2 linked regions of the Mus musculus genome follow. The protein of the gene in region 1 interacts with the protein of each later gene in a pairwise test. Links are inferred from orthologs where the notes say so. Each region holds a gene or a part of one and is shown on either strand. Other genes may lie near its edges.

The links.
Region 2: the proteins of Tsr2 (region 1) and Rps26 interact in binary tests that used the Homo sapiens proteins (3 or more experiments, as listed by UniProt). The two-hybrid records come from large-scale screens. The link is inferred for Mus musculus from reciprocal best matches to the Homo sapiens genes TSR2 and RPS26.

What each region holds. Positions count from the first base shown.
Region 1 is NC_000086.7:151,086,908-151,103,353, reverse strand, and holds Tsr2 (pre-rRNA-processing protein TSR2 homolog), read left to right. Parts: upstream 1-6,810; 5' UTR 6,811-6,841; coding exon 6,842-6,925; intron 6,926-7,098; coding exon 7,099-7,189; intron 7,190-11,586; coding exon 11,587-11,678; intron 11,679-12,572; coding exon 12,573-12,758; intron 12,759-12,939; coding exon 12,940-13,074; 3' UTR 13,075-14,445; coding exon of another isoform or gene 14,446-14,751; 3' UTR 14,752-15,242; coding exon of another isoform or gene 15,243-15,386; 3' UTR 15,387-16,260; downstream 16,261-16,446. Other genes in the region: Fgd1 (FYVE, RhoGEF and PH domain-containing protein 1), read right to left, coding at 14,446-14,751, 15,243-15,386, 16,373-16,446. UniProt on the Homo sapiens protein: May be involved in 20S pre-rRNA processing.
Region 2 is NC_000076.6:128,617,413-128,633,539, reverse strand, and holds Rps26 (40S ribosomal protein S26), read left to right. Parts: upstream 1-7,033; 5' UTR 7,034-7,061; coding exon 7,062-7,064; intron 7,065-7,299; coding exon 7,300-7,477; intron 7,478-8,202; coding exon 8,203-8,333; intron 8,334-8,903; coding exon 8,904-8,939; 3' UTR 8,940-9,011; downstream 9,012-16,127.

The sequences.
Region 1 (16,446 bases):
TCTATAGACAAACAGGACTAGAAAAGAAACTTCCTCATCATATTATAATTTAAACACTAGCTATACAAAACAAACATAGTATATTGGTTGAAAACTGCAAGAGAGAGAGAGAGATACTGAGTTATACAGAGACAGACTCATCAGAACAACAGCTGATTTCTCAAAAAAAAAATGTAAAAGCCAGTAGGACTTGGGATGGTGTGCATCAAGTTCTGAAAGATCACAGCTGTCAATCCCTGAGATTATTCTCAGCAAAACCGACATAATTTTTTAAAATATTTATTTATTTATTATATGTAAGTACACTGTAGCTGTCTTCAGACACTCCAGAAGAGAGCATCAGATTTCGTTACGGATAGTTGTGAGCCACCATGTGGTTGCTGGGATTTGAACTCAGGACCTTTGGAAGAGCAGTCGGTGCTCTTAACCGCTGAACCATCTCACCAGCCCAAAACCGACATAATTAAAGGGGGGCTTTCCATGATTAAAAAAAGAAAAACAGGTTTAAGAGTTTATGTCCACTAAGCCAGCTCTCCAGAAGATACTGGAAACAATTCTTTAGACTGAGAAGAAAGATGAATGCAATAGTCTATAAGGGGGAAAGGGGACCTGGTGAAGTGGCTCAACAAGTGAAGGCACTTGCTAAGCCTGATGACATGAGTTTTGATCCTGAGAACCCAGAGTCAAAGGAGATAAGATAATTCTCAGACCACCACACACACATCCACAACATACATACAGAAATAAATACATGGGGCTGGAGAGATGGCTCAGCAGTTAAGAGCACTGACTGCTCTTTTGGAGGTCCTGAGTTCAATTCCCAGAAACCACATGGTGGTTCACAACCATCTGTAATGGGATCCGAAGTCCTCTTCTGGTGTGTCTAAAGACAGTGACAGTGTACTCACATACATAAAAGTAAATAAATCTGCCGGGCGGTGGTGGCACACACCTTTAATCCCAGCACTTGGGAGGCAGAGGCAGGCAGATTTCTGAGTTCAAGGCCAGCCTGGTCTACAAAGTGAGTTCCAGGACAGCCAGGGCTACACAGAGAAACCCTGTCTCAAAAAACAAGAAAACAAAATAAATAAATAAATAAATAAATAAATCCTTTTTAAAAATTAAAATAAGGGGGGAGGGTATGAGGGACTTTCAGGATAGCATTTAAAATGTAAATGAAGAAAATACCCAAAAAAACAAAAATAAAACAGAAAATCACACTGGGAAAAAATTAAAATAAATAAATAAATAAGTTTAATTTTTTGAAATTAAAAATAAAAGAGGAACCATAGAGATGACTCAGTGGTTAAGAGCACTTGCTGCTCTTCCAGAGGACCAGAGTTCCCAGAATTCCTGCTAAGTGGTTCATAATCACCAGAGAGCAGAGAGAGTGTGGGGTGGGGATAAGGAAGAGAGAGAGAGAGAGAGAGAGAGAGAGAGAGAGAGGAGCGAGAGAATGATTAAAAAATAAATATTTAAAAATAAATAAAAGAAGCTGGGTAGTGTGTCAAGTGAGAAGCTTTCCATAGACCGAGACTGACTACAGTAATAGGGAAGGAACAGTGAGAAGCAGGGAAGCCATAGAGCACCTGCATCACTTACACTACAGACAGAATCCATCCCCTCCATCCAGCTGTTACCTCGCACGAATGGTGCCTGGTTTCAGATCTTCCAATAATCAAGGGTTTCAGGTGGACTCCCCTAACTTTAAGAGAGCAGCCATGCCAGACAGTAGTGGTACAAACTCTTTGATCCCAGCACTGGGGAGGCAGAGGCAGGCAGATCTCTTCAGTTTGAGGCCACCCTGATCTACAGAGTAAGTTCTAGAACAGCCAGGGCTACACAGAGAAACCCTGTCTCAGAAAAACAAAATACTACTACTACTACTACTACTACTACTACTACTACATTAATAAATAAAATAGACATATTTAGCTTGGTATTGGGAACCTCAGCCAAGGCAGGAGAATCATGATTTCCTACTAGTCTGAGCAACTTAGTCTTGTCTCAGAAGATACAAACAAGAACAAATAGACACATTCAAATGGGTATTTCCTTATCTCTTCACTCAATCTACAATACTCCTTATTTATTTATTTATTTATTTATTTATTTAATGTAAGTACACTGTACCTGTCTTCAGACACTCCAGAAGAGGGCATCAGATCTCATTATGAATGGTTGTGAGCCATCATGTGGTTGCTGGGACTTGAACTCAGGACCTTCGGAAGAGCAGTCAGTGCTCTTAACCGATGAGCCATCTCTGCAGTCCTACAATACTCCTTTCACCTAAATTCCTTTTCCTCTGACTTCTCCCATGAAGAACTGTGCCACCTCATGTCAAAGACTATACCCTCCAGACTTCTGCATCCTTAAACTTCTGGCCCTCTTGATTCTGTCTCTTAGGTGCAAGGATCACAAGAGTGTGCTGCTATGCCAGCTTCCATGTCTGTTTCATAATCATTGAAGGACATAGCTCTCTCAGTACTCTCTGATGCCCTCTGTACCACCAGTTTCTCTTTTTGGAGCCACCAGCACATGCTCCAGTATCTTCCACAACTAAGACTCCAGCTGGACACATTGGTTCAGAGCTGTAATCCCAGTGCTTGGGAGGTAGAGACAAGAGGATCAGGAGTTCAAAGCCATCCTCCACTATTTATCAAGGTTGAGACCAGCCTAGGCAACATGAGACCCTGTTTCAAGAAAAAAATAAAAATAGAAATAAAGAACCTGCTCTGAATTGTGCCAAACTCTTCCAACTATGTCTTGGTGCTTCGTCACCCTCCATTTCCTCTTCAATCGACTCCAGTCTCATTTTGCATCATTCTACAGAACCTGCACTTGTCAAAGTCACAAATGACCTATCACCAAATATGGCAGATGCTTTACTCTGCTCACCCGCTCAGCGGCAGTGGGAGACTATAAGTTAGCATCAGCTGTGTAGCCTGACTTGTCTGCTCAGAGCTGAAATTTGTGGGGTTTTTAGTGGTTTGTTTTTATTTTATGCACGTGAGTGTTTTGTCCGTGTGTATGTATGTGCACTGAGTACATGCCTGGTGCCTGTGGAGGCCAGAAGACTACACTGGATCCTCTGGAACTGAAATTACAGACACTTGTGACCTGTCATGTGGGAGCTGGAATGTGTACTTGGGTCCTTTGCAAAAGGAGCACATGCTGAGCCATCTCTCCAATCCTTTTGTTTGTTTTGAGACAAGGTTCATGTAACCCTTGTCCTGGAATTCACTATGCAGACCAGGCTGCCCTCAAACTTACAGAGATCCACCTGCCTCTACTTTCCAGGTGCTGAAGCAAACACCACCACACCAGCTCCATCTTCTTTATTTTAAAAATGTATATTTTATTTTTATTAATCTTGCACTATTAGCTTTCTTTTTCTTTCTTTCTCTTTTTCTTCCTTCCTTTCTTTGTGACAGTCTCATGTAGATCGGGTTGGCCTCAAACTCATTACACAGATATGTAGCTGAGAGTGGCCTTCATCCTCTTGCCTCTGCCTCTGCGGCCTGAGTGCTGAGATGCCATGAATGTATCTCATGCCTCAGTTTGACACTTTAAGAACATTTGTGGTTAGTTGTATGTGTATCTGTACATGGGCACACAGAGACATTGCATAGGGCATGTGTAGAGGGGAGGGGACAATTGGTTCTAGTCGTTTTCTCTCTCCATTCTATGGAACCCCAGGATCAAACTCAGATAGTCAGGCTTGGTGGCAAAGTGACTTTACTCACTGGGCTATCTGGTCAGGAACGTACATGTAGTCTCCCCTCCCATAGGTCCACCCAGATAATCCTTCTCTCCCACCTGCCCAACTCTATGTCCTTTCTTTTTCTTTTTGAGACAGGGTTTCTCTGTATAGCCCTGGCTGTCCAGGAACTCACCTTTCCACCATGCCCGGCAAAATGTACAAGTGAAAATCTTTTTATTGAGAAAGAATGAAAAACAGATTGATGACTGCTTGGAGATGCAGGGGATTGAACCTGGGACCTCACACATACGAGGCACACACTCTATCTCTGAGCTACATCCCCTAGCCCTCTATGTCCTTTCTTTCTCTCCATCTAGAAGACAAACAGGCAAACAAAACAGAATTAGAAAATAAAAACAGCTGGGCAGTGGTGACACACGCCTTTAATTCCAGCACTCAGTAGGCAGAGGCAGGAGGATTTCTGAGTTCAGGCCAGCCTGGTCTACAGAGTGAGTTTCAGGACAGCCAGGGCTACACAGAGAAACTCTGTCTCGAAAAAAAAAAAAAAAAAAAAAAAAAACAAAGAAAAAGCTTGGGAAATACATAGACACACAGACACACAAAACAAAACCCACAAACCACAAAATCAGAAACTGTAGTATACAAGCAAAAGGCCAGTAGACAAAAAAAAAAAAAAAAAGCTCAAACAAAGCAACACCAGATGAAGTCTACAAAAATACCATTGAGTCCAGTTTTTGTTGGCTATCTACTGCTGCGTGTAGAGCCTGCCTGTAAGAGTGGTTTGTATCCCCAGTGAGAAAACTAGTTTTTCCCCTTTTCAATCAGTTAACTGGAGGTACCTTCCGGATTAAGGATGGGGGCTTGCATCTACCTCCCTTCTAAGCACGGGAGCCACATCTGGTTTACGCTGCTGCAGGCCCTGTGCATGCTGCCACAGTCTCTGTGAGTTCCTGTGTGCATCAGTCCTCTTGCATTTAGAAGGCCTTATTTCCTTCATGTCGTCCATCTTTTCTGGCCCTTACAATCTTTTCCACCTTCTCCTCTGTGGGATTCTGAAGAGGGCTTTCATGAATACATTCCATTTAAGACCAGAGCTTCTCACTCTCAATACATTGTGGGTCTCTATGTTGGTTCCCGGCTTCTGCAAGAGGAAGCTTCTCTGATGGTGGCTGAAAGAGGCACTGATCTACCGGTATAGGAGACTGTCATTAGGTGTCATTTTATTGCTGTGTGTTCCTTTAGCAGAACAAATGCTTCCTTTGCTAACTGTTCCTTTTTCTAAATGCTTACAGAGCTTAATGTGTTCTCTAAACGCTTGTAGTTAAATCTCATTAACTTTGCTTATCATATATCATAATGATCCTAACAATCAGATAACACTGGATGATCATATCACAATGCTGGCTTATCCTGAACCTCTTTCCTGCAGTGTAATCAAAGGCCTGGCTTTACCTGAAGGAGGACAGAACTCCTCAGACTGCTGAGGGCAGTGGTGGGCTGTATCTCCCCCATGGGCTCTTTCTAAATATTTACAGCTCAAACATTTTTGTTGCAAGCTAAAAATGTGTCCCCTAAGTACTTCAGCTACAACACTCAAGGTTCATTTCATAGTGTTTTCCAATTTCCCTTTGTTTTTGTCCTTTGACCTATTTCCATAAAATAGAGTCCATAAGGTTACACAAATTTATGGATTTCACATGTTTCTTTCTCTTACTAATTTCTAATTTTGCTTTGCAGTCTTTCTTTTTTTTTTTTTTTTCTTTTGTGGTCTTGGGATGAAACTCCAGGACCCCAGTATGCTGGCAAGGTAGATAGAAACATTATCAGCCCTTAGTCCTTAAAACATACTAAACGCTGTTGTGTGGAATACTACATGGTGTGTCTTGGAGAATGTTCTTGTGAACTTCAGAAAAATCTATATTCTGTGCTAAGTGTGGTGGTGTGTGATTAGTCCTAGAATTTAGGAGAGTGTGGTAAGAGTCCAATACCAGACATGGCTACACAGTGGAAACTGAAGTTCCTAGAGAAAAGAACAGGTACATCTGTATGGACCGTTCTATAGGACCAAATGACGGAGCTTTGTGGTTGGGGTGAGTAAAAATGTTACAGAGGAGAGACAAATGACCTTGAGCTACTTTTAATCCCATTGAAAACAATTCCTTGTCTTCCCTTGAATCTGAACGAGAAATCTCGTGGTTATCACAACTTTTCAAATACATACTTAACAGCGAGCATCTATGAATCCAAAAGCTAAGAATGTCATCAGACAGTATCTGAAACCTAAGCAGAAATTTCCTCATCCCACTACCTGTAGTCTCTATCAATAGATTTAGTAAATGCTTTGACTTAGGACTTTCTTTGTTCTGTAACTACTAAAATGTCATTTGACCACTTCCACAAAAGAAAATATCTTTCTGGACAACCTGAATCCTGGACATGGTCACTCATATTTGACTCAAGAATGAATTGTTGGAGCTGGAGAGATGGATCAGCGGTTAAGAGCACTGACTGCTCTTCCTAGAGGTCCTGAGCTGAGTTCAAGTCCCAGAAACCACATGGTGGCTCAAAACCATCTGCAATTGGATCCGATGCCCTCTTCTGAGGTGTCTCTGAAGACAGTGACAGTGTACTCACATATATAAAATAATTATTTTTAAAAAATTAAAATTACATTTATTTATTGTGTGTGGGAGTGCCTGCGCCTGTGAATGCCGTGTAACACATGTGGAGGTGAGAGGAAATTGCAGAAATCGGTTCTCTAGTTCCATCCTGTAGGGCTCAGGGACTGAACTCAGTTCTTCAGGCTTGGAGGCAATTGCCTTTATCTGCTGAGCCTCGCAAATGTAGGTTTTCTCGCCCTCGCTATTCTTTTCTCCTTTCCTCTTTATTTCAGCTATGCTTCCTAAGTACTCTGCTCCAGGTTCTCCTTTAATTATTAGGATTTACTGTGGTAAGTGGTAGCATCTACCACTGATGGCGTTTCCCACTGTTCTGGTCTTGCTGCCAGCCAGATTGGCAGAAAACTAAACCACGTTCTGAGAATCGGCTTTTGGCTCCTTTTGCCTGGTGAGGTCGCCCTAGCGATTGGGCTGCCTGGGAGCCACGTGATCTAAACGGATGATGGCGGGCGCCGCTGAAGATGTGCGTGTGCTCTTCGGAGCTGCAGTCCGAGCTGCGCTGGAGGCTTGGCCTGCTTTACAGGTAAGTGAGGTCCTGGCGGGGGGTCACGATTAAGGCTGTGACAAAATAGAAGTTGACCAGGCGAGGCGCCAGAGCCATGGCTGGGCGGTGTAAGCGGCAGACTCCCAGGCCCCGGCAGGCCACGCCGTTCTGGTTTCCATGCTGTCATGGTTGGCTTGGGCCTGTGTTCACAGATCGCTGTGGAGAATGGCTTCGGGGGCGTGCACAGCCAGGAGAAGGCCGAGTGGCTAGGGGGTGCAGTGGAGGATTACTTCATCGCCAATGGTGAGTGAATGTGAGGTGTTGCTGTCTGTCGCAGTGTGGCGTGGCAGAGCCTCGACGTAGAGAGCCCGCGTTTGATGAATGAATCGTGACTTTGAGATCAGAATTGTGTCTTTAGAGTGCCTTAGAGGCAATGACACTCAAATGCTATTATGCTGGAGAACGCATTTTGCCTTCCAGAGAGTCATTTTCCTACTTTCTAAAATGGTTATGGAAAGATCCGACGAAAAGAACTATTCGAGTCATATCTTGTAACTTAAAATTGCTGGATGAGGGGTGGGGGACAGCTCCGTGGACAAAGGCCAACAAGCATAACAGTCCGAATTTCATAGCTGGGACAACATGGAAGGAGAGAACTGGTACACGCTTAAGGTGTCCTCTGATTCTCCCTACACAAGTAAATATAATTTTAAAATTGTTGGGTGAGGAGTGTAGCCCAGTGGTAGAGCACTTTCCTAGTCTGCTCGTGTCCCTGGGCTCCAACCCTGGTGCCACCAAAACTAAAAGCAGTACCTCTGATAAATAAAAGGCAGCCAGGCCCTGTGGTGCAGGCATGTACTCTCATATTCCTGATGCAAAAGGACCTCAAGTTCAGATTCACCACAACCTTGTCTCATAATAAAAATAATATAAAGACTTGGAGATATAGCTCAATGGAAGTGCTTGCTTACTACACACATGTGAGGCTCTACACTACTCATACTACCACAAATGAATAAATGAATGAAAGAAGCAAATATTATAGTGTTATTAAATTCATATCCAAGGTCTAGCATATGGGCCATGTTTGTGATTCTAGCACCAGGGAGACGGAGACAGGGGAATTGCTCTAAGTTTCAAGCTCCATATCCCCAAGTTGTCCTTATGATAAAAGAAGGGGCTGGAGAAATGTTCAGCTGTTAAAAGTGCGTCCTGCTCTTCCTAACCTGAGTTGGGTTCTCAGCTCACAACCACCTGTAACTCCAGCGCCAGAGGATCCAAAATGTTCCTCATCTGTACACATGTGCATGCACATACATGTAATTAACAAATAAGTAACACAGGGCTGAAAGGATGGCTCAGCAGTTAAGAGCATTTGTTCTTGCATTGGACCTCGGTTCCGTTCCCAGCACCTACATGGTATCTCATAGTTATCTATGACTCCAGTTCCAGGGGTTCTGATATCATCTTTCTGTCCTTATCTGGGCACCAGGTACACACAGTGCACACACAGGCAATCAAAACAACATGCACATGAAATAAATACAACAAAAATCCTCTTCCAAAATATTTTAGTATGTCATAAGAATTAAGCATTTTTCACTTTTAGTATTAAATTTCACAATCTGGAGTTTATTTATTTATTTAGGTTTTTCAAGACAGAGTTTCTCTGTGTAGCCCTGGCTGCCCTGGAACTCACTCTGTAGACCAGGCTGGCCTTGAACTCAGAAATCCACCTGCCTCTGCCTCCAGAGTGCTGGGATTAAAGGCGTGCGCCACCACGCCCGGCACAATCTGGAATTTTAAAAGTCTTAGTACGTCTCATTTGTGACCAGCCACATTCTAAGTGCTTGTGCTCGATAAGCACATGCTGCTGCTTCTACACAAAAGTTCTACACTTCCATTTTGTCTTGGTGGGGTATAAAAGAACAAGAGGACTTAGAGTATTGCATGCTGTTTTTTTTTAACTCTTCATTAACATCCTAGGTTTTTTTAAAGATTATTTTATTTATATGAGTACACTGTAGCTGTCTTCAGACACACCAGAAGAGGACATCAGATCCCTTTACAGATGGTTGTGAGCCGCCATGGGGTTGCTGGGATTTGAACTCAGGACCTTTGGAAGAGCAGTTGGTGCTCTTAACCACTGAGCCATCTCTCCAGCCCCCAATATCCTAGTTTTGAGGATGGTATTAGGCAGATTCACAGCTCAACATTTACAATCTAGTGAGTGATTTCAGGTAAGTAAATGAATAGTTAAAATACTGGGTGGTGTGTGTTATGCTAAAGAGGAGCTCAGAATTCTTCAGTTAACTGAGCCTGAGGAGAAGCCTTTTTGATTTGATTTTTGTTTTTTGGGTTTTTTTTTTTTTTTTTTTTTTTTGAGACAGGGTTTCGCTATGTAGCACTGACTATTCTAGAACTCTTCTGTTGACCAGGCTGGCCTCAGACTCCGAGATCTACCTGTCTCTTGTCTCCCAAGTGCTGGGATTAAAGGTGTGCGCGCCACCACTGGTCAGTAAGAGGCCTTCTTAAGAGTAGCGATTAGAGTGAGGCCTAAGGAATGAAAAGGGGGAAACTAGGTAGAGATGATAAAGCATGTACTCAAAGGAGTTAAGTGCATTATATTAAGGGGATGGAAGAGTGGTAGAGAATGGTGTGTGTGTGTGTGTGTGTGTGTGTGTGTGTGTGTGTACAGAGACACTGACTAAAGGGTAAGAGATAAAAGGCCTTCTGTGACTTTGCTTATAGAGATAGAAAGCCAGTGTCTGTAAAATTCAAGCTATAAAAGACTTGTCTCGTTAGATATTCAATGAAGAAAATGTTTCTCCAGTCAAATTATAGAAGCTTTTTTCTTCCAGCTGCTATTTTATTCCTAGTAGTAGTAGTAGTAATTGGAGACAGTATCTCCTTCTATAGCTCAGGCTGCCATGGAATTTATGTTCCTCATGCCTCATTTTCCTGAGTGCAGGGTTATATAGGTGTGTGCCATCAGTCCTGACTCTGTTTTCCATTAGCTTTTTATGGAGATCTTCCCGTAAAACTCAGCAAAATTGAGCTGGGAATGTAACACAATTGGTAGAGTATTTATCTAACATAAGAGGTCCAGGGTTCAATCCCTAGAGCCACATTAACCAGGCATAGTGATTCATGCCTGTAATCTTAGCACTGGGAGGTGAAGGAAGGAGGATAATCAATTACCAGGAGGAATTCCAGGCTAACCCTGTATTATATAGTGAGTTTGATGCTAGCCTGGGCTACATACCTGTTATAAAAACAAAACCCTGAAACTCAGCAAAATATTTCCTAAAGGCAAGCTTCACAATAGGTGATAAAATTCATGAGCAGGTTCTAAGGTAAGTAAGTAGTGTTTGCTAGCTAGAAAATTCAGAAAGTAGTTAGTATAGAAAATAATGTCTAGGGGGCTGGTGAGATGGCTCAGTGGGTAAGAGCACCCGACTGCTTTTCTGAAGGTCCGAAGTTCAAATCCCAGCAACCACATGGTGGCTCACAACCACCCGTAATGAGATCTGATGGCCTCTTCTGGTGCATCTGAAGACAGCTACAGTGTACTTACATATAATAAATAAATCTTAAAAAGAAAAAAGAAAATAATGTCTAACGTAGGACAATGGCAATGGTCAGAGAAAAAGAGAGTATCAATAGAGGGGGTTTGGAAAAGAGATTTATGATGAGTGGCAGGGTAGATAGAAGCCTTTCATTGGATAGAGGAACCTTGGAGGATGAGATGCTGGTTTGGAAGGCAGGATAATAAACCTGGCTTTGGATATAGGGACCTGTTTAACATTTGGACACATAATTAGCCTGAGTGGAAGACAAAATTTTTTTTTAAGATTTATTTATTTATTATATGTAAGTACATTGTAGCTGTCTTCAGACACTCCAGAAGAGGGAGTCAGATCTCGTTACAGATGATTGTGAGCCACCATGTGGTTGCTGGGATTTGAACTCTGGACCTTCAGAAGAGCAGTCGGGTGCTCTAACCCACTGAGCCATCTCACCAGCCCCGGAAGACAAATTTTAAGGCTGTAAGATTTGAATGGTAGGTAAAAGTAGAAGTGTGGAAGAGCTATGTCTGGGAGAAGGCATATAGGGAAAAGAAAGCTAGTCTTTCATTTAGGAAAGATAGACCATTGGCCCAGAAGATAACTGAGCTCCAAAGTCTGAAGGCAGTATTGAGGTTATGATTTCAGTCTTGAAAGTAGTGCATGCAGCGGAGGCTGTAGCTCAGTAGTTGTTTGCCCAGCATGTGCTTCACCCTGGGGTTGATCCCCAGCACCAAAAATCAATGAAGTCCCGTGTCCATTTCTTCTTACCCATTGCCCTTGAATCTCTGGACTCCTGTATTAGTGGAGCCACAGTTGTGAAGGGTCTCCACATTTCAGTACTTCAGCTGTGAAGTGATGCATATTAATATTAGGGATTTTATCTCCCTTGTGACAAGCACTGTGTAAATGAGTCCTCTCAACAAACCCTCCTGAAGGCTCTGAGAGGAGCAGCTTGCTCAAGGTCGCTCTAGCTGAGGTTGGTTAGAATAGACAAGTAAAAGAGGGTGTTTCAGTGAACAAGGGGTCACTGGACCTTTACCTGCTAACCAGATATAGCAGGCAAGTATTGAAGAATGGTGAGGGCTGATGAAGTTGGCCTTTGGTTAAAGGGTTCTGTCCTTTCCTATTTAGCTGACTTGGAGCTGGAAGAGATAGAAGATTTTCTTGGGGAGCTGATGACCACTGAGTTTGATACAGTTGTGGAAGATGGGAGTCTGCCCCAGGTGAGCTTATGGAGACAGCTGCCAGCCCCCTGCCTGCTCTTTCTCCCTACTGTGTTAGGGACAAGGTTCTTGTGATCATTCTTTTCTTGAGGCGCAGACATTCCCTATTGCATTTTCAAACATTCCTTTATTTCTCTATTTAGATCATTCTCAACCAGTATTTTCCCCACACCCCACAAGCTGGGTTGGAGCAAATTCCATCCCTATTCTGATTAACACTGCTTACCCTGGTGAGATCATCTTTCATTTTGCATCTTCAGTCCCTTTCTCTTTTTTGGGGGACAGTGTTTTACTCTCTAACATGGGTTGCCTGAAATGTACTGTGTAGCCCAGCCTACCTCAAATTCATAGCAGTCAGTGTGCCTCAGCTTCCTAAGTACTGGGATTATAGCTTGTGTACCACTTAGTCAATTCTAGTACCTTCCTTCTCTTCTAGGAGGCCCTCATTCAAGGCTTCACGCCCTCACCCCAGCCCTTGAATTGTGGTTGCTTCGATGAACTTTGTTGTTGCTTTATTTATTTTTGAGACACAGTCTTACTATATATCCTTGGCTGTCCTAGAATTTGCCATGTAGACCAGGCTAGCCTTGATCTCAGAGATCTACTTGCTTCTGCCTACTGAGTGCTGGGATTAAAGATGTGTCAGCACTTCCAGCTGTTGTTTTATTGACAGTGTGTTACTATGAGGCCAGGCTGACCTCAAACACAAAATTCTCTTGCCTCTGAGGTCTCTCATTTATATGCATCCACCACTGTGCCCATCTGCTTGGATGAACTTCTTAGGGAGAAAAAGAGCCCTGAAAATTCCAAACCCCCTTCTCTGCTGTAAACAGGCTGGTTTTACGGTAGATTGTCTGAAAAAAAATCTAAGGCGGTTGGCTATTTCCTTGGTAGGTGAGCCAACAGCTACAGACCATGTTCCACCACTTCCAGAAGGGTGATGGGGCTGCTCTTCAGGAGATGACCTCTCAGATCAACCAAAAAAAGTGCAAAGTCACGGCTACCCCACTTATGACAGCCAAAGAAACTGATGTGGCTGAAGATGATGTGGACAGCGTGGAAGAAATGGAGGTGAAAGAGGTGCCTGTACTGAGGGGCGGTATTCCTAAATGTTTTTAATTTTCTAGCTAGATTCACAGGGAAGTGATGGCGGTTGTAGGTGGTAGTGGTATTTTCAAGGATAGCTCACATAGTCATGGAAAACTTAGTAGCAGAGCCTGGGTAATGTACTTAAGAGACTTCTCTTGTATCTTCCTTCCAGGTGACAGCTACTAATGATGGGGCCACAACTGACGAGGTCTGCCCACAGCCTCAACCCTCTGATCCAGACACCCAGACTATTAAGGAAGAGGATATAGTTGAAGACGGTTGGACCATTGTCCGGAGAAAGAAATGAGCAGGGCAGTACATGTTTTGGGCCCTCGTTTGTTAAATGTTATGAGACTTATAGGAGCTGTTTGGGGGCTATACACCTCTGTTCTGGAAACCATAACCCTTCTTTGTTCCCCTGTCCTTCCCTTCAGGAGAAGGAAAGCCCTAGTTGTGGGGTTGATGGGACCTATTCCAGCCCCTTGAATCTTAAGGTACCATATGAGAGCTAAGAGCAGGTTTCCCAGCATAGTACCTCCTAGGTGCAGTGACTATGAAGACGGCTGACAAGTGTGGGTGTGGTTGTAGACCAGACTTGTGGAAAACTGGCAGGTACATTTGTGGAAAGGACCAGAATTCCACAGTGGTAGGCTGGCTGGATTGGTAATCCAGCCAGGATAAGCATACAGTTGGAAGAGAGAAAAGATGTAGACATCTCTACATTCCCCAATGTCCCCACCCTAGCCTCCCTCAGAACAACCCTCATCCTGCCCAGAATTTGCATCCTCCTGGGAATGCTCCCTGTTTGAATACCCTTGAGAGTTTGAAGGACTTGACTAAAAGTGGTGAACTTGAGAAAGTTGGGCTGTTTTAAGTCCAGGGATGAGGCTTAAGACCTTAATAACATATAACATTTTCTTGTTTAATCCATGATTTAACCTTGGAATCAGCTTTCTGCAAGCTGAGCTTCAAAATTTGGCAAGAGAGTAGTTTCTGTACCCTCCCATCTCCCTTAGTAGCCTGGGACTTTGGACAAACGGACGGACCATAGCAGTGCTCTGAAAGTTACTGTATGCCTGAAATAAACTGTATTTTTCTTTAAAAAACAGTATCCATTGTCCTCCCCCCCCCTCCCCCATTCCCGTCCTGCCCAGTGGCCCTGCCATGGATCTGGACGATAAAATACTGGATTGCTTTGGGGCTAGGTAGAAGCTATAAGCCATGGGAAAGGCAAGAAGGGTCTAGTCACCACCCCATGTAAGGTCATACATGTGAAGACACTGGCTGAGGAGGAAAGGGTGGGTTGGGGTCCCAGGGTCAGTAGCAGAGCTGGCACTTGAATCCAGGTCTCCTGCCTCTGGTACTTTTGTGGGGAGCTGGGTGGAAGTGGGGTACTGGGAGGAAACTAATTCAAGTGAGTCTAGCAATTAGCTCCCGCCCTCCCTGGGGACAGGGATTTAAAAAATTAACATCAATGTAGGAATAGTTTTTTTTTTTTTTTTAAAAAGCCCACCTTTTGTGAAAAGATGAATTAAAAAACCCATGACCCAGCATTCGGGATTGAAAGTGCCCTTGATGGGAATTCAAGTATTGACTGCATTGGGAGTGGGCTGGAGCCCCCAATTGAACATGGGCAGCTGGAGTGTGGGGCAGAAACTCCCAGTTCCCCCCAAACCCTCTAGGTCTTGTCTCGGGTCTGGGAGGCTTCAGGAGGTTCAGCAGTGGCTCCTGAGGCTGCCACTGGTGTCTCCTCCATCTCCTTGTCCTCAGACAGTGTGGGCCCTGGGCAGAATGTGTCCCCACGGCCCGCCCTGCCGAGAACAGCCATCCAGCGCCGCTGGAGTTCTTCTGTCTCTGGGCTGAAGTACCAGCTTAGGTGGCTTTGTGTGATCTTGAAGACATGCCTCCTGTCTGGCCGCTCTCCTGCCTCAGGAGGCCCCACCTCAAAGCCAATGAGGGGCAGGCTGCGCTGGGCTTTCACATCCTGGAGAGAAGGAACAGAGAACTAGTGTCATCTAGGGGCTAGGCAGTATCCTCTGCCCAGTCAAACTGCTCTGTTCTGCTGTTTCCCTCTGCTGAAGAACACTGATTTCACTGTAATGAACAGGAAGATATCTGAACTGGGACTAGAAGGCAGGCTGGTTTACATGGCTATCTCCTCCCATGCCCAAATCAACTATTATAGATTCAGTCCTTTGGCTAGTTCCTCTATCTGCCTATTCTGTTCTACTTAAGTGTCAGACCTAGAGGTGCCTGTCTATTCTACTGTTTTCTCCAGAAAGCCAGACTTCCCACCTCACCCTCATTGTCCCCATACCTTGGCCTCCAAACTCTTCTACCTACCTATTCTGTCACATAAGGATAGGGGTTTTAATTTTCCCCTTTGCTAGGCTCACCCTGCCCCCAAAGGACAAGGAGAGGAGCAGCCCAGCTTTGTCAGATGGCTGGAAAAACCTGAAGGAGTGGGATGCACACCTGAGGGGCTCCATAGATGTACAGCACCAAGGGTTCATTCTCAGGAACCACAAACCATGCCTTGTGCCATCCTTTCCCACCCTTCTCCATGTAGTGCAGGAAGCTGCAGATGACGCTGTTCTCAGCAGCGACCGAGGCCTGTTTCTGTGATCAGAGACACAGGACAGGGAACATCAATGTTGATGGAAGGCTTTGCTCTTGGCTTTAACAGCCCCATAGTGTATGGACTATGTCTCAGACAACGGTAGCCAAGCTGTGCAAATCATAGCTGAAATGATTTAGCCTTCATCATGGAGATAAAACAAAGCAAGGCTTGGCTGCTGCTGACTCTTAACAACAAGTATAAGGGGTGTGCAGATCTCAGTGGGGACAGTGAAATGCTGGCCACTCTTAAGGCTAAGGGACTTTCACAGCTAACCCTTTTCATCTTTCATAATATACTCATTGCCTGCTCTGAGAAAGTCCTTCTAACATTATGATTAATGGGATGAGTAGGTGGCTAACACCATCTGTCTCGATCCTAACAATAGATGAAAATGCAGGACTTGTGAGAAGAGCACAGAGGGTGTTTATGAGATTGAAATTAGCATAAGCAAGGCATTTAAAATAGTTCTGGTACAGAGTAAGCTCCCTTACATTTGGGATACCTTGGTTTTGTTGAAAAAACAATCACCCCAAATATGTGTATATTCATGGTCCTAAAAAGATAGGATCAGTATTAACAGTGGCAACTTCTGGGTAAAGGAATATGTCTTATGTTTCCTTATCCTATTTCATAATTTTAAAAATGCACTTGGTTCATTAAAAAGAAAAACCTATAGGCTAGCTTAGGCTATGCAGTGAGACTTTGTCTCAGATAAAATGATCCCTAGAAGTGTTTTTCTGGTTGTATAACTTAGTCAAATATCCTCTCTGGGTTTTAGTTTCTTCCTATGTAAACTAAGGGTAAGAGTTGAGCAGTTACTGTAAGAGTTAAGTGTGTAAAGTTCTGTAATAAAAAGTATCCTTTTAACCCGTACACTCATTTTCCTTGTTTCAAGTCTGGATTACCTGATTAATGAGTGCTTACCCTGGGTCAGTAACTATGGCATACTTTGAGGCTTGTGGTTAGGAACCCAGCCAGTTCTTACCTCTAGGATGGACCTCCTGCGCTGGGGTGTATGCTGGCTACAGGCTGGACTGCTCCCAGGTGCTCCATGCAAGG
Region 2 (16,127 bases), on another chromosome or scaffold:
TTTGATGCTGATACCTCCCAACGGCCCCACCTTAGCTCTGTGGCATTATTATCTCCTCTCTGGGACCTTTCAGCCCGGCACTCCATACCTCTCGTGCCCACTCACTTTAGGCAGCTTGCACTATTCTTAAATGAATGAAGAATTTCCTCATTTGCAGGTAGGAGGGGCTGTAGAAACTCTCCCCAGGCACTGTGGACTGAGGGTCCTCTTGACCTCACCTGGGAATCCGAGCTCCCTAAAGACTACATTCAGGACCTCCCTCTAGGATGTGATACCACCCTTCCCTCTCCCTGGCTCACCCCTCAACACCACTCTGGTCTCAACTCGCCACTCTTGTCAGTTGGTGGCTTTTCTCTCCTTGGAATGCCCCCATTTTATATTCTCAGGGGCTAAGGCTAGACCTGCTACCCTTTCTCTGACACACAGAGAGAGCTGCAGGTACCTAGCTGAGAACCAGGGCATGGGAAGGGGGATGGGTAGAACTCTCTCCTCCACCTTTCAAACACTTACACTCCAGTGACCTTCCTAGGCTCTCAGGGACTCCTTCTGTCCCCATATTATGAGAAACCAGCGGGTTGCTGCTCGATGACCAGGGGTCTCTCAACCCTGTCAGTCACGCTGCCTTTTTCCTCCCTTCCAGCAGGACTCGCCGTCTCGTCCCCAGGCTCCTGGGCCCTGTTATGATCAATGGCAGGGAGAAAGGGGATGTCTCTTTTCTCTCTGCCAATTTTCAGTATAACCAAAAAAACTGTCCCAGGATGAACTACACGTATGTGCCCGTCAACCATTCCACCCTTGTCCCAGCAAGAATGGGACGGACACAGCTGGGAGTCACCTCCACTGCCCTTTCCATACTTAGCTCCAGACACAGGGCAGGAGAGGCAGTCTTCTCTGGTGGTTGCAGACACTCTGGCTATTCGGATAATCGAGGATTCGTGAGACCATGCAGGAGGAGGCATAGCTCCATTGCAGGTGGAAGTCTCTCTCTCTAAAGAGTTCCCTGCCAGGGCCACAACCATCCCACTCTCTGCTTCTTTGAGATTCAAACCAAAGGATGTTTTTTCTATATTTAAAGAAAAGGAAAAAAAAAGAAAAGAAAAAAAAAAAAAACCAAACACAACACCTCATAAGTTATAGTCTTGGTCTTCACCCTCCCTTTCTCTTCCCTTCCGTCCATCTTCCTTCCCACGTGCCCTTTCTTTATCTCTTCTGCCTCTCCCTACTTTCCTCACTCCCTGTTAGGGACGTTGAGAGGCACGAGAAAGGGTGGGCTAGATCAGATCCTGGGACTGGGGCTCTTAAGCATTCCGAAGAGAGTCGACTTTCTCCTATCGGGAGAAGGGTAGTGGGGTGAAAACCACTCTTTTCTCTTCTTCCTTCGGCCCTGGCACTGCTTCCCAAAAGGACCAGATTGGCAGAGAGCAGCTCTGTGGGGCTGTTCTTCCCTGACAATGTAGCAATAAGCAGGTGCTGCCAAAGGCAAGAGAATGAGGTCTGAGCTCTGAAAGGAGTGGTCCCGAGACAAGGGAAGGGTCGCCACAACAGAGCCTTGGCACTAATTCCTTCTTGGGCTGGCACACAGCTGAGGTTACTGTCTGGGCTTCTCCTCAACCATTCTGGTTGTGAGCTCCCATTAGACCCGCTCCCACCTCTTCTGTGTCTGCCCTGTATTCGAGGACACCTCAGAAGGACTTAGTCCCTCTGAGGCGCTAGAGCCTTAGAGTGCCCCACCCCTCCCTTTGTTTAGTCAGTCTTAGCACCTGTGACCTCCCAGGAACACAAAGGACTATGCTCCTCCGAGGCTATGCTAACGCCCATGAGAGCAGAGGTGGAAGGGACAAGACCAGGTGCTAGGGAGGAGGGGGCATGGCGTCTCTCTCCAGCCCACCACTGCACTTTAACCAGGGTCTTAGGTACAAAATGCTACTTTTCAGGGCCTTCCAGCTCTGGAACCTCAAACATCCTCATGCTCTCTCCCAGATCCTTTTGCATAAAAAAAAACAAAACAAAAAAACCAACAACAAAAAAAGTAAAGAAAAAGAAGAAAACAACAACAAAAAACAAAATGCCAAAATCCACACAGAGAAAAGAGGTGTTCTCTCTCTCTCTTTTTTTTATTACTCTTAAAAAAACAACACCACAAAAAAGTGGAGGGAAGGGAGAGAATTTCTAAATAGACACTTTTCCAGACCTTTGTGTGTGTGTGTGTGTGTGTGTGTGTGTGTGTGTGTATGTGTGTGTGTGTGTGTGTGTGTGTGTGTGTGTGTGTGTGTCAGTGTCCAAGCTGCAAGTGGAATTTTATAATACTTCTGGCAGCTTCTTTCCTTGTGTATATAATATATATATATTTTTAATCAGAAATTATGAAGATCAAAAATAGAATAAACACAGAAGCAAGTGCAATACCACCTCTCCTTCTCCCCAGAGTTCCTCTGTAGCCTGTTCGGTGTCCCCTTTGGCCCTTGACCCTTGACCTTGTCTCTCTTCCTCTGGTTCCTGACCTATTCTCCCCTTCCCTCTTTTTAAAGAGTTTTTCTCTTTTCTCAAAGGGGGTTAAACCAGCTTTTGAGACTTACTGCAAAGCATTTTGTATATGTAACATACTGTAAGTAAATATTTGTGTAATGGAGAAATACTACTGTAAGTTTTGTACTGTACTGGCTGAAGGTCTGTTATAAATAAACACGAGTAATTTAACCCCTGTTTGTTCTTGAAGACTCCCTTTCCCTTGTTTTCCTTCTGGGAGGGAGGCAGACTTCATACCAACTATTTCTCTGTTCAAGACTTAGACAAGTCTAAGACTGAGAGGAAACCAGACAACACTACTGAAGTTGTTGGTCTAGCAGAACAGATTTTTTTTTTTTTTTTTTTTTGGTTTTTCGAGACAGGGTTTTTCTGTGTAGCCCTGGCTGTCCTGGGACTCACTTTGTAGACCAGGCTGGCCTCAAACTCAGAAATCTGCCCACCTCTGCCTCCCAAATGCTGGGACTAAAGGCATGCACCACCATGCCCGGCGTCAGAACAGAATTTTTTAAAGGCAGGGCGTCTCTCTTTGTAGCCTGGCTAGTCTGGAACTTAAAGGAATCTACCTGCTTCTGCATCCCAATTTCTGGAATTAAAGGTGTGGGCCACCGTGACTAGCCTGTATTATTATTTTAATTTATTTTAGATTATACTTTGATTATAACATTTCTCCCTTTCTTTCCTCCATATACCTAGCCCCAGTTTCTTTCAAATTCAAGGTCTTTTTTTCTTATTATTATAATAACATAATGATTTATATTATTATTATTATTATTATTATTGCACATATGCATACATGTATATAATATGCATATATTCCTAGATATAGCCTGTTCAGTCTGTATAATGCTACCAGTATGTATGCATCAGTGTTTACCATTTGCTACAGGATAACCAGTTGGTATGGTCTTCCCTGGGGACCTCTCTCGATTTGCCCCCAGCTTTCTCCAGTTGCCTGCACTTCTTTGTGCGGGACTGAGGCCCCATGGGCTTTTCCCTATTCAATGTGATGTGTTCTTTGGTATCATCCTTGTCCAACCTGCATTTGGGCAGTAGTATTGGTAAGATTACATGGGTGTGGTTTCTGATGCTGCAAAGGAGACACACTCTCAAGGCAAACTCCCTGATCCTCTGGCTCTTACAGTCTTTCACCCCCTCTTCTGCAATGCTCCCTGAGCCTCAGGTGCAGAAATGTTTTTGTCATTGTATCCATTGGGACTGTGCTCCACAACTCTGCATTTTGATTGGTTGTGGTTTTCTGTAGTGGTCTCCATCTGTTGTAAAGAGAAGTTTCCTTGATGAGGGGTGAAGTCTATACTTTGTAGGTGTAAGGACAAACGTTTATAGATTGTTGCAAGGGATTATGCTGGCATAGTAAATTAGAAGTCATAGCTTGCCGGGCAGTATGGCACACGCCTTTAATCCCAGCACTTGGGAGGCAGAGGCAGGCGGATTTCTGAGTTCGAGGCCAGCCTGGTCTACAGAGTGAGTTCCAGGACTGCCAGGGCTACACAGAGAACCCTGTCTTGAAAAGAAGAAGAAGAAGAAGAAGAAGAAGAAGAAGAAGAAGAAGAAGAAGAAGAAGAAGAAGAAGAAGAAGAAGAAGAAGAAGAAGAAGAAGAAGAAGAAGAAGAAGAAGAAGAAGAATTTGTAGTAGCTTCTCCTCCAATAGCCATGGCTTCACTAGCACTGAGTAGTTAACTAGCTTTCCATGGTCCCCCTCTCACTGACTGGTTCTTTTGGTTTTTTTAAAGATTTGTTTATTTATTATATGTAAGTACACTGTAGCTGTCTGCAGACATTCCAGAAGAGGGTGCCAGATCTCCTTACGGATGGTTGTGAGCCACCATGTGGTTGTTGGGATTTGAACTCAGGAGCTTCAGAAAAGCAGTCAGTGCTCTTAACCCCTGATCCATCTCTCCAGCCCCTCACTGACTGGTTCTTAAGTCCAACCAGAGAGTTGTTGGTTACTGTGAAAATATGTGTGCCACTACTGCACCTTAGGGTTATATGCCATGCTGGTCATTGATGTGGTTAGTGGGATCATAGCAGGAGAACTTTAGGTTGACTCCCTCAGATGGTGCCCTCTGGTACCAGGAAAGCTAGATTTCAGGGAGGAAATATTCAGGTCAGTTCCACCTCAGGGGTCTCTGGGCCTTGCTTCTGACATGCTTCCTGTATTCAGAAATAGCAGGAACATACCTTCCATCTCAGAGATAACCAAGGGCAACAGGAAGAGGCTGCTGCATGCTTGAGAGTCTCTTGGACAACCCTGGCCAACACCTCAAAAGATGGATTCTCTTTTTGGTATTGTTTGGTACTGGGGTTTCGTTGGGTGGTCTTTAGCTCTCAGAGGGAGCACCATCAGCCCCGGTGAGAAGATGCATTAAAAATATATGTGTGTATTTATTCATGGGTTGATGTGTATTATAGGGTTTCTTGGTAAGTAGGTAATGCAGTATAATTTTTTGTGGCTTTTTACAGAAATGTTTGTTTTTTTCTTTTTGGTTTTTTTGAGACAGGGTTTCTCTGTGTAGCCCTGGCTGTCCTGGAACTCACTCTGTAGACCAGGCTGGCCTCGAACTCAGAAATCCACCTGCCTCTGCCTCCCAAGTTCTGGGGCTAAAGGCGTGTGCCACCACTGCCTGGCAGAAATGTTTGTTATTTCATCCACTTCCTTCTTCTGTATTTACCTCCCTCCCTTTTCCCTAAAGAGGTCCCACGTCCCTATCAGATCAATTGTATACTACTAGTCTCTTTTGCCTTCTTTGAATCTTTTTCGGAATTTACTTTGATCTTCCTCCCTAAGGAACACCTCCCTTCCCATTTCCTTGATCAGGTCACATGTACACTGCCGCTTCCCCCGCTACTGCTCCCCAACCCCCGATCCTGGCAGTGGTTCCACTTTACTCTCCCACTTCTGCAGTTGCTCTAGGATATATGATATGTGAACTCACACCTGAAGGTTTGCAGCTAAGAGCCTCCAATGACAGTGACTTTCCAGGTCTGGGTTACCTCGTTCAGGGTGATCTTTTCTAGCTCCATCCATTTACCTGCAAGGTTCATGATTTATGTGTGTGTGTGTGTGTGTGTGTGTGTGTGTGTGTGTGTTTACAGCTGGACAGCATTCCACAGTGTATATGAACTACATTTTCACTACGTGTTTGTCAGATGTAGGACATTTAGGTTGTTCCATCTCCTGCCTATTGTGTTTGGAGCAGCAATGAGCGTGTCTAAGCAGGTATCTGCAGAGTAACATGTTGAGTCCCTCTGGCATATGCCAAGGAGAGATATGGCTGGGTCATGTGATAGATTTATCTCTTGAAAGTTCTCCACACTGATTTCCATAGTGACTATACCAGATTGCTATCCCACCAACAGTGAGTGAGTCCTCCCCATCCTCTCAGTCATTTCTTGTCAGTTGTTCCATTGATCTTTGCCATTCTGACCAGAATAAGGAAAAATCGCAAAGGTATTTTTATTTTTTATTTATTTATTTTATTATTTTTTTTTTTAAATTTTTTTTTTTTTTTTTTTTTTGGTTTTTCGAGACAGGGTTTCTCTGTATAGCCCTGACTGTCCTGGAACTCACTTTGTAGACCAGCTGGCCTTGAACTCAGACATCCGCCTGCCTCTGCCTCCCAAGTGCTGGGATTAAAGGTGTGCGCCACCACGCCTGGCTGAGAAATATCTTAAAAGAAGAAAGTTCATCTCTAGCAATTAGGGAAATGAAAATCAAAAAAAAAAGAAAAAGAAATTCAAGGTCACACTTGGCTAACCAAATAAGTTCCAGGTCAGCCTGGACTACTTGACTATGTTTCAAAATAAATAACTATCTGATAGACTTGATCAGTTAAATTGTGTTGGTACATACAATGTACTAACTACAGTGCTTCATCTGTGTTAATAGGATCTGGAAATAAAATGGTGGTCCAAGCCCAGCGTGGTGGCCTAATCCCAACACTCGAAGCCTCTATTTGGAAAGACGCATTTACAAATGGTTTATTTCTCCCAGGTCTTCTATTTCTAATTCCTACACTTAGAACACATATTTCAAAGAAATAAATCATGGCGTCTTAAGGTGGTTTAGCGCCGCCTTTAGTCCGTCTACTACGGGCAAGAGAGAACCTCTCCAAGTCGTACTACAACTCCCACAATGCATCTCTTTTGTCCTCCCACACTAGGGAGTGTGCGTCCGAATTCTGGATAACTTCCGCTCTGGAACTATCGTAAACCGGATGTTATAGAGCCTTGTAATCACTTCCTGGTTTGGGAATGTAACATTTTAATCTTCCGCCGGAAGGTTAAATAGTTCCACTGATATTTTTCGTCATAGACCATTTCTAGGGACTTATCACAACCCTACATTTCACAGGAAACTCTAAGTAATTAGGTAAATTCGAGCATAATAGCTGCTAGGGAGTAAATAGAATTACAGGTCGCTGAGGGTTTTTTTTTTCAGCGTGAGCGTAGGAATCTCGTACTATATAAGCGGGTCGGGCAAGCCGCCGGATCCTCTTTCGAGTCTTGGCTCCAAGATGGTGAGTGTCGCCGCGTGGTGAGCGCGCGGGCCTGGGTACTGGGGTAGAAGTAGATCTATGGACGGTAGGGACCTGAAAGTCAGAGTCTTGGAGGAGAAAGTGACAAAGGGTCCGTCCAGCCCGGACTTGGCGTGCTCGGGACTTGTACGGGTCTCTGTCGGGGCTGCGGGCGGCGGCCGGCCAGGAAGGGCTGAATTCTCGCCCCCTTTCCAATAGCGTCTCTTTCCATTCTCAGACCAAAAAAAGAAGAAACAACGGTCGCGCCAAAAAGGGCCGCGGCCATGTGCAGCCCATTCGCTGCACGAACTGCGCCCGGTGCGTGCCCAAGGATAAGGCCATCAAGAAGTTTGTCATTCGGAACATTGTAGAAGCCGCTGCTGTCAGGGACATATCTGAAGCAAGCGTCTTCGACGGTAAGTGAGCCACAGCCGTGATTTGTACAGGGACGAAGAGTGAGGAGGGTGTGTATGGCTCGTTGTCTTCAGCTTGGGGAGAAGGTGCCTTTTGTGGCACAGTAAGCAGGCCTAATGATGGGGTTTTAACTTGGTTTTTCTCTTGGGGTGGAGATTGAGGCTCATGCATGGTAGCCAAACCCCTGCATCCCATCCCTGTGAGAGACTGCCTATTTAGGAGAATCTGAAAAAGCATAATTCTTTAGTTATTGAAAAAAATTGAACAGCTTTTAAAACGGGCAAAGACTGGTTTGGGCAGTTTGTGACTTGGTTTTTGGCGTCTCAGAACTCACTGTGTAGACCTACTCAAGAGATCTTCCCTAGTGCTGGGATTAAAGGCGTGCACCACAGCACCTGGCTGGCTTTTGTCTGTTTGTTCATTGTTTTGTTTTTTTCTTGACCTAACAGTAGTAACCATGAGGCCTGCCAGCAGAGTGAGACTCCCTAACTTGAGCTATTCTCATATTGTGTGGCCCACTTTGGCTTTGAGGATGCCTTGGCCTTTTGAGTGGCAACCTCTAGCCCAAGAGTTGAACTCTTGGTGTATGTTGGGTGTGGTGTTGGTTTCTCTGGTTTTCATTGGGTGTCATTTATCAGTAAAACTTGGAGGTTAGGGTAATCCTGACCAATAGAATAAGAGAATCACAGGAAAGGGCGTCTGTCTAATCTGCTTCTCGATTTCTCAGCCTACGTGCTTCCCAAGCTCTATGTCAAGCTGCATTATTGCGTGAGCTGTGCCATCCATAGCAAGGTTGTTAGGAATCGATCCCGCGAGGCCCGGAAGGACCGAACACCCCCACCACGATTCAGACCTGCTGTAAGTAAATTATTTTAACTTGGGACATACATAGTCTTACCCAGAGAAGTATCCATTAAGGTCTTATTTAGTCTGTGTGGCAGCTACGACCTACATTTAAATTTTAAAAATGCTTGTCTGTTTTGCATAACCTGAAACACTTTTAGTGATGCTAGGTGGGTGGTGGTTGGTTTCTTTGGTTTGAGGTGCTGGGTCCTCAACTTAATGCTGGTAAGTGCTCTACTGTGAACTACATGGGTGGGTGGGTTTGGTTTTTTTTGTTTTGTTTTGTTTTAAGAAGTCTCGCTGGAAGCCAGGCGTGGTGGCGCACGCCTTTAATCCCAGCACTCGGGAGGCAGAGACAGGCAAATTTCTGAGTTCGAGGCCAGTCTGGTCTACAAAGTGAGTTCCAGGACAGCCAGGGCTATACAGAGAAACCCTGTCTCGGAAAGAAAAAAAAAAAGAGGTTTCACTGGCCTTCGCTCACCTAGGACTCTTGATTCTTCTGCCTCTAGAATGCTGGGGTTAAGTAGGCAACCGCAGCAGATCCGAGTACCTCATTTCTAATTTAGCTCATCTCTTGTTTTTCAGGGCGCTGCACCTCGACCTCCACCAAAGCCCATGTAAAGAGGCCGTTTTGTAAGGACGGAAGGAAAATTACCCTGGAAAAATAAAATGGAAGTTGTACTTTACATGGCATCGGAGTGTGTTTATGTCGAGACTCTTGTGTGCGTTTCAGGGGGTCCATAGTGCAGAACTTGGTGCTTTGGGCTCTGTACACCTTATTTTCTAAGGCATTCTCTGCAGGCTGGCCAGCAGTGAGCTCCATGGATCCCGTTTATGCTGCCTGGACTCCCAGCAAGCCATGGGATTACAAGTGTGTTCACTGGGCTCAGCTTATGGACAGGGTTCTGTGGATCACCTGGATCCTTGTAAGACTTAACAAGCCAGGGTTTCTGTTTTTATGGTGCAGGGCACTCACTGGTCCCCGGCCCTACAGACTTTAATGTGACCATAGGATGTTAAAGTTTTAAGCCAGTTTAATTTGTTTTGAGGCATGGTCTCATGCCTTCATGTCTTGCTGGCTTTGAACCTAGATGCCTCAGTACCTGTGAGTCAACCATCTCTGGCTAAGTTGACCACTTAACCTTTATCTGAAAGGAGGCCAAGCTTTGACTGTAGAGCACAGACTGGCCTTCACCCTCTCCCCTCAGCCTCCTAAACACTGGCATTTGCAGGTAGTGAAACACCCACCCACACCCCCACATACACTCCTGGTAGGTACCTGGTAACTTAAGAGCCTGGTAAAAGGTCATTATCATAAAGAGAGGATTTGGAAAAGTTTCAAAGACAATAAAAGTGGGGAGAGGGAGTGGAAGAGATAGCTCAGCAGTTAAGAGCACTCACTGGCTGCTCTTACAGAGGACCCAGTTTTCGTTCCCAGCACCTATGTAGCAGCTCTTAACCTCTGAGCCATCTCTCTAGCCCCTTGTTTGTTTGTTTGTTTGTTTAGACAGGGTTTCTCTATGTAGCTCTGGCTGTCTTGGAACTTACTTTGTAGACTAGGCTGCCTGGAACTCACAGAAATCCAACTGTCTCTGCCTCCCAAGTGCTGGTTGGCACTCCAAGAACCAAGAGACTGGTTCTCATGCCTTGGATCCCAGCCCTGCGAGGCAGAGGCAGGTGGATCTCTGTGAGTTCAAGGCTAGCCTATTCTACAGAGCTTCACCACTACCAGCTAAAGGCATGTACCACCACCCTGTCCCCAAATGTCAATGTGGAGATGCACATCTACAGTGAGGTACACAGCTGCACTCTCCATATTCAGGGTGCTGCAGCGATGGTTCCCATGAATTTGAAGCCAGCCTGGGCCATGTAGTGAGTTCTAGGTCAGCCTCGACTGAAGAGTAATAATGTTTTTTGCTTTTTTTATTTTTGGTGTTTGGTTTTTACCAGACAGGGTTTCTCTGTGTAGCCCTGGCTGTCCTAGAACTAGCTCTGTAGATCCAGGTGGCCTTGAACTCACAGATTCTCCTGCCTCTGCCTCCCAAGTGCTGGGACTAATAATATTGGCTTTAAAAAAAAAAAAGCTAATTTAAAAACAAAAGGGGGAGTTGGGCGTGGTGGCTCACGCCTTTAATCCCAGCACTCGGGAGGCAGAGGCAGGCGGATTTCTGAGTTTGAGGCCAGCCTGGTCTACAGAGCGAGTTCCAGGACAGAGCTATACAGAGAAACCCTTGTCTTGAAAAAACAAAAACAAAAGGCTAGCTTTGAAGTTCCATGTTTAGTGTGGATGGAGGTGCTAGTACCTGCAGAGACCAGAGATGCTGGGTCATATGGAGCTGATAGTTTGTATGGTAGCTGGCTGGATGCTGGGATTTGAACTAGGGTTCTTTGTAAGCAGTTGTGCACTGAGCAATCTCCAGCTCCCTTCATATGAATGTCAAAGCCAGCAGCCCACTCTGTTTAACCTAGTACAAGTGTTACCCTTTCCACTAGGTTTTGTTTGTTGCTTTTTTTTTTTTTTTTTTTTTTGAGACAGGGTTTCTCTGTATAGCCCTGGCTGTCCTGGAACTCACTTTGTAGACCAGGCTGGCCTCGAACTCAGAAATCCACCTGCCTCTGCCTCCCGAGTGCTGGGATTAAAGGCGTGCGCCACCATGCCCGGCTTTGTTTGTTGCTGTTTAAGAGATGTAGTTGAGGGAGGTTTGCTGTAACCTAGAATCCTATCTAATTTGCTTCTGAGGTGTCCACACTAAGTACATAACTGAGTAAGTGTTCAAGGGAGATGGGTCCTTTGTAGGCTGGTGTTCGGCTGAAGTGGAGTCCATTGAGGTACTGGACTGCCTTTGCACACATCCTGATTCTTAGACTTTCCTTCTTGAGTACCCCAGAATTAGTGTGTTTGAGGAAGATAGTATTCATTGCCTACCACTATAGCATCATGTTTTAGTTTGCACATTTAGCTTGTTTTTAAGTTGTTTTATTATACACCGTGTGTATGCAGTGTCCATAGTGGCCAGAAGAGGGTGTTGGGATACCCTAGAACTGGACTCTCTGAAGGCTAAAGGCACTCTTAATTGTTCAGCCATGTCTCTAACCCGAGCTTTTTTTTTTTTTTTTTTAACTGTGAACATTTTATGTAGTGCTAGAGATTGAATTTAGTGCCTCTTGTATGCTGTGTTAGTTAATTTTTTCCAACCTGCCTGAGCTTAGTCCCAACAGAAACAGTTTAAGGGAAGAAGGGCTTATTTTGATCCACAGTTGCAGAATGTGTAGTCCCCTCGTGGCCAGGAAGGCATGGTGGAACTCAAAATGTCAGAGACATAACAGGCTTATATCCATTGCAGTGGACAATAGGAAGCAAGGGCTGGCCAGGAGCTGGGTACAACTGCACACATCTGTAATCCTAGCACTCTGGAGCTGGGGAATTGATAGTTCTTAAATTAGCTGGAGGGTGGGGCTATACTACAGGTAGAATTGTTTGCTTAATGTCTCAGGTATTTCAAGACAGGGTTTCTCTGTGTATCCCTGGCTGTCCTGGAACTCGCTTTGTAGACCAGGCTAGCCTCAAACTCAGAAATCCACCTGCCTCTGTCTCCCTAGTGCTGGGATTAAAGGCGTCCGACACCACGCCCAGCTCAGGGTTCCTTTTGCTGTGACAAAATACTATGCCCAACAGGAATTTGGGGAGAAAAGTTGATTTCATTTTTGACTTCCAGTTCCCAGTCCCTTACTGAGGAAAGTCAGGGCAGGAAGCAGAGACTATGGAGGAGTTGTGCTTACTGTCTTGTTCCACAAGACTTGCACAGCCCTCCTTGCTAACAGCTTCCAGGACCTCCAATCTGGTGGGGATTCTCTGTTGAAGTTCCCGCTTCCCAAATGACTCTAGCTTGTGTCAGGTTGACATTAAAGCCAACCAGCACACTTAATGTGCGTGTAGCATAATCAAAGTGTGGTACACACCTGTAATTCCAGTTCTTGGCGGGGAGGGGTGGAGGTTGGCATTTCAAGGTCATCCTCAGCCACGTAGTTCAAGACCAGTCAGCCTGAAGTACATGGGACCCTCTCACAACAAAAAAAAATAAACTTCCTAACCAGTTGGAACCAACAGTGCTTGCATTTTCCACTAGTGACCTACATCTGATAGTCAAGCTGCCTCCTAAGGCTCCCAGTTCCTAAACGCCTCCAAAAGAGTGCCCCAGATGTGACCAAGCCTATGTGACATGGGCCTATGAGGGAAGGTTCTGGTTGGAATGAGCATGAATCAACCACAGCTGGCCCTCAAGACATTTTTTAAGACTTTTAAATTTTCTGTGTATGAGTATTTGAGCTGCATATGTGTTTGTGTCCCAGCAATGAAAGAGGTTAGAAGAGAGTCATCTGGAACTGGAGTTATAGATAGTTGTGAACCACCATATGGATGCTGGGAACAAGTCTTTAGTCATCTTTGTGCCCCTCGCCTTAAAATTTTTCTATTACATTTATCTACTGTGTGTGTTCATTGTCTATTGAGCCATCTTGCTGGCTCCCAAAGTTTATTCTTGCTATCAGGGATGAGGGAATGTCCGCTTAATGTGTTAGAGTTTGTGACCCCTGGGAAAGACCATAGACTCAATTTAATTATAATCAAAGGATTTATTGATTAGCTCCTAGCAGGGTGACAGCTTTAAAGCTCAATCTGAGGCATGTCATGAAGGAGGGGCAGAGGGAGGGTTTTTAAAGGGGAAAACCACAGGAAGACCTTTAATGTCTATGCAAGCAAGTAGAAACTGGTCTGTTCTCCCAAGTTAAGTGGTTAGGGTAACTAAAAACAACCTTTGGCCAGGCAGTGGTGGCACATGCCACTAATCCCAACACTTAGGAGGCAGAAACAAGTGGATTTCTAATAAATTCAAGGCCAGCCTGGTCTACAGGGCCATAAAAACAAACAAACAAACAAACAAAAAACAACCCTGTCTCAAAAAAAAAACTAAAAAAAAAAAAACAAACAAACAAACAAAAACAATCTTTGCGGGTTGGAGAGATGGCTCAGCGGTTAAGAGCGCTGACTGCTCTTCTGAAGGTCGTGGGTTCAAATCCCAGCAACCACATGATGGCTCACAACCATCTGAGATCTGATGCCCTCTTCTAGGGTGTCTGAAGACAGCTACAGTGTACTTACATTTAAAAAAAAAATCTTTGGGTAGCTGTGTAAGTAAGTTACAGAAGCCAGAAAAGCAATTAGTCATAACAGGTGGGTGGTGTAGCCACAGGCTTTTCCACCCAAGGCCCAGTTTTCAGAAGCTTATTATTAATTAATAAATGCCTAGGCCTTAAGCTAAGCTTGTTCCTCGACTAGCTTGCAGCGTATTGAACCTGTTCATACTATTCTATGCCTGCCACATGGCTGGTACAGGGCTCCAGGGGAGTTGACATGAAGACACCAGGGGAGCAGGAGCAGCCAGGGCAAGACTAAGATGGCGGGTAATGCCACGTGGCTGGCAAGTAGGCCAGGTCAGCATTACTTGGGTTAAAATACCTCAGTATCTGCCCAGCTATAGTGCTGAAGCTAATAAGAAATGGAAGGTCTTCATGTATTGGGCATAGAAAAGCCAAAATAAATTTTTTTGTGTGTATGTGTTTTGTTTTGTTTTTCGAGACAGGGTTTCTCTGTATAGCCCTGGCTGTCCTGGAACTTACTTTGTAGACCAGGCTGGCCTCGAACTTAGAAATCCGCCTGCCTCTGCCTCCCGAGTGCTGGGATTACCACCATGCCTGGCAGCCAAAATAATTTTTACAAGGTAGTCATGCTAAACATTTTTGGATGGGGGATCATTGAGTCAGAGTTCCAGGGACTGGACTCAGAGATGGAACAGTTAGTGGCTGCCACGAAGGATGCTGAGTTTCTTGGTAGGCAGTCGTGGCACACACTTTTAGTCCCAGCACTCAGGAGGCAGAGGTAGGTGAATCTCTATGAGTTCAAGGCCAGCCTGGTCTACAGAGTGAGTTCCAGGATAGTCAGGGCTACAATTAAAAAAACAAAACAAAACAAAACAACAACAACAACAAAAACAATCTTGGGAGGGAAAAGTTTCTTTAACCATCATAAATTAATTAAACTAATGAGTCTTATTAAAGTAGACTGGACCCTTAGATGAAAAGAACAGGGGCTAGAATAAAATAATTTTAAATTTTACTTTATTTTATGTGGCATGGATGTTTTGCCTGCTCATATATGGTTGTGCACCACACATTGTGTCCATGGAACCCAGAAAAGGGCACCAGGTCCCCTGGAACTGGAGTTACAGATGGTTTTGAGACCCAGTGTAGTTACCAGACATAGAACCTGGGTCCTCTGGAAGAACAGCCAGTACTTTTAACTGCTGGGCCATCTCTCTAGCCCTGTTCAATAAATATTCATTTCCTATATGCTTGGGACTTTCATCAGAGACCAAGTCTTTGTTGCACAAAGCCAACTGGCTAAAAAGAGTCAGGTATGAGCTGGAGAGATGGCTCAGCGGTTGAGAACCCTGACTGTTCTTTCAGAGGTCCTGAGTTCAATTCCCAGCAACTACATGGTGGCTCATATAAAATAAATAAACCTTTTTTTTTTTTTAATCAGGTATGGTGGCACATGCAATCCCAGTATTTAGGAGGCAGAGGCAAGTGGGAAATATTTTTTTAAAAACTTGCCAACTCTCAGCGGGGCCAGTCCACACTCCAGCGCTCCTGTCGTGGCTACCAACTCTCTGGGGCTAGCCCCCTCAACAGGTGATCTCACTCATGTGGTCTCTTGGCCTAACAACTCTCCAGCCCTGCGTGGCCATAGGGCTCCCACTGGGCTATCTCTCGGACAAGCCCCCCCTCCCAGTTCCTCTCACTTCCATGCAGCACCCCACACACCCCACAATCAGCCATCTCAACACCTAGTTACCAGTAGAAGCACGATTCTTAGAGCTTAATTATCGAATCAGATTTATATAACAATAAGATCACAATTTACAAGATGTCAATACAATAATTTCAGAGCCAATTGATAATGATAAAAGCTTTACCCCAATTATTCTAACCTTGTGAAAATCTTAGCTACTTGTGGCTGTTTAAAACCACACAGGATCAGGATCTTCTTCCTGTTCGTCTGCCTCTAAGTTGGCTTCTCCCATCTCCTCCCCTTCTCTCTCTTTCTTTCTTTCTCTCTTTCTTTCTCTCTCTCTTTCTTTCTTTCTTTCTTTCTTTCTTTCTTTCTTTCTTTCTTTCTTTCTTTCTTTCTTTCTCTCTCTCTCTTTCTCTCTTTCTCTGTCTCCCTCTCTCCCCTCCCCTCCTTCCTTCTAACCCCCCTCCCACCTATATCTCTGGTTGTCCCAGAACTTACTCTGTAGGCCAGGCTGTCCTTTGCCTCTCAAATGCTAAGATTAAAGATGTGCACCACCACTGCAAAATAAAATCCTTTTTAAAAAGAAAAAAAAAAAGTTAGGTGGTTGTGGCACACACCTTTAATCCCAGCACTTGGGAGTGGTTTTTTGTTTGTTTGTTTTTTGTTTGTTTGTTTTTGAGACATGGTTTCTCTGTGTAGCCCTGGCTGTCCTGGAACTCACTTTGTAGACCAGACTGGTGGAGCCACCATGTGGTTGCTGGGATTTGAACTCAGGACCTTCAGAAGAGCAGTCAGTGCTCTTACCCGCTGAACCATCTCACCAGCCCTACACATCACTTTCAAACACTGCTGTGTCTCTAATTTGGGTTTAAAGGTGTGAGCTAAGGATGTGTCTGTATCCCACCCAGAAGGATTAAAGGTGTGTCATTCCAGCTGGATCCCACATACCTAGAAGGTCT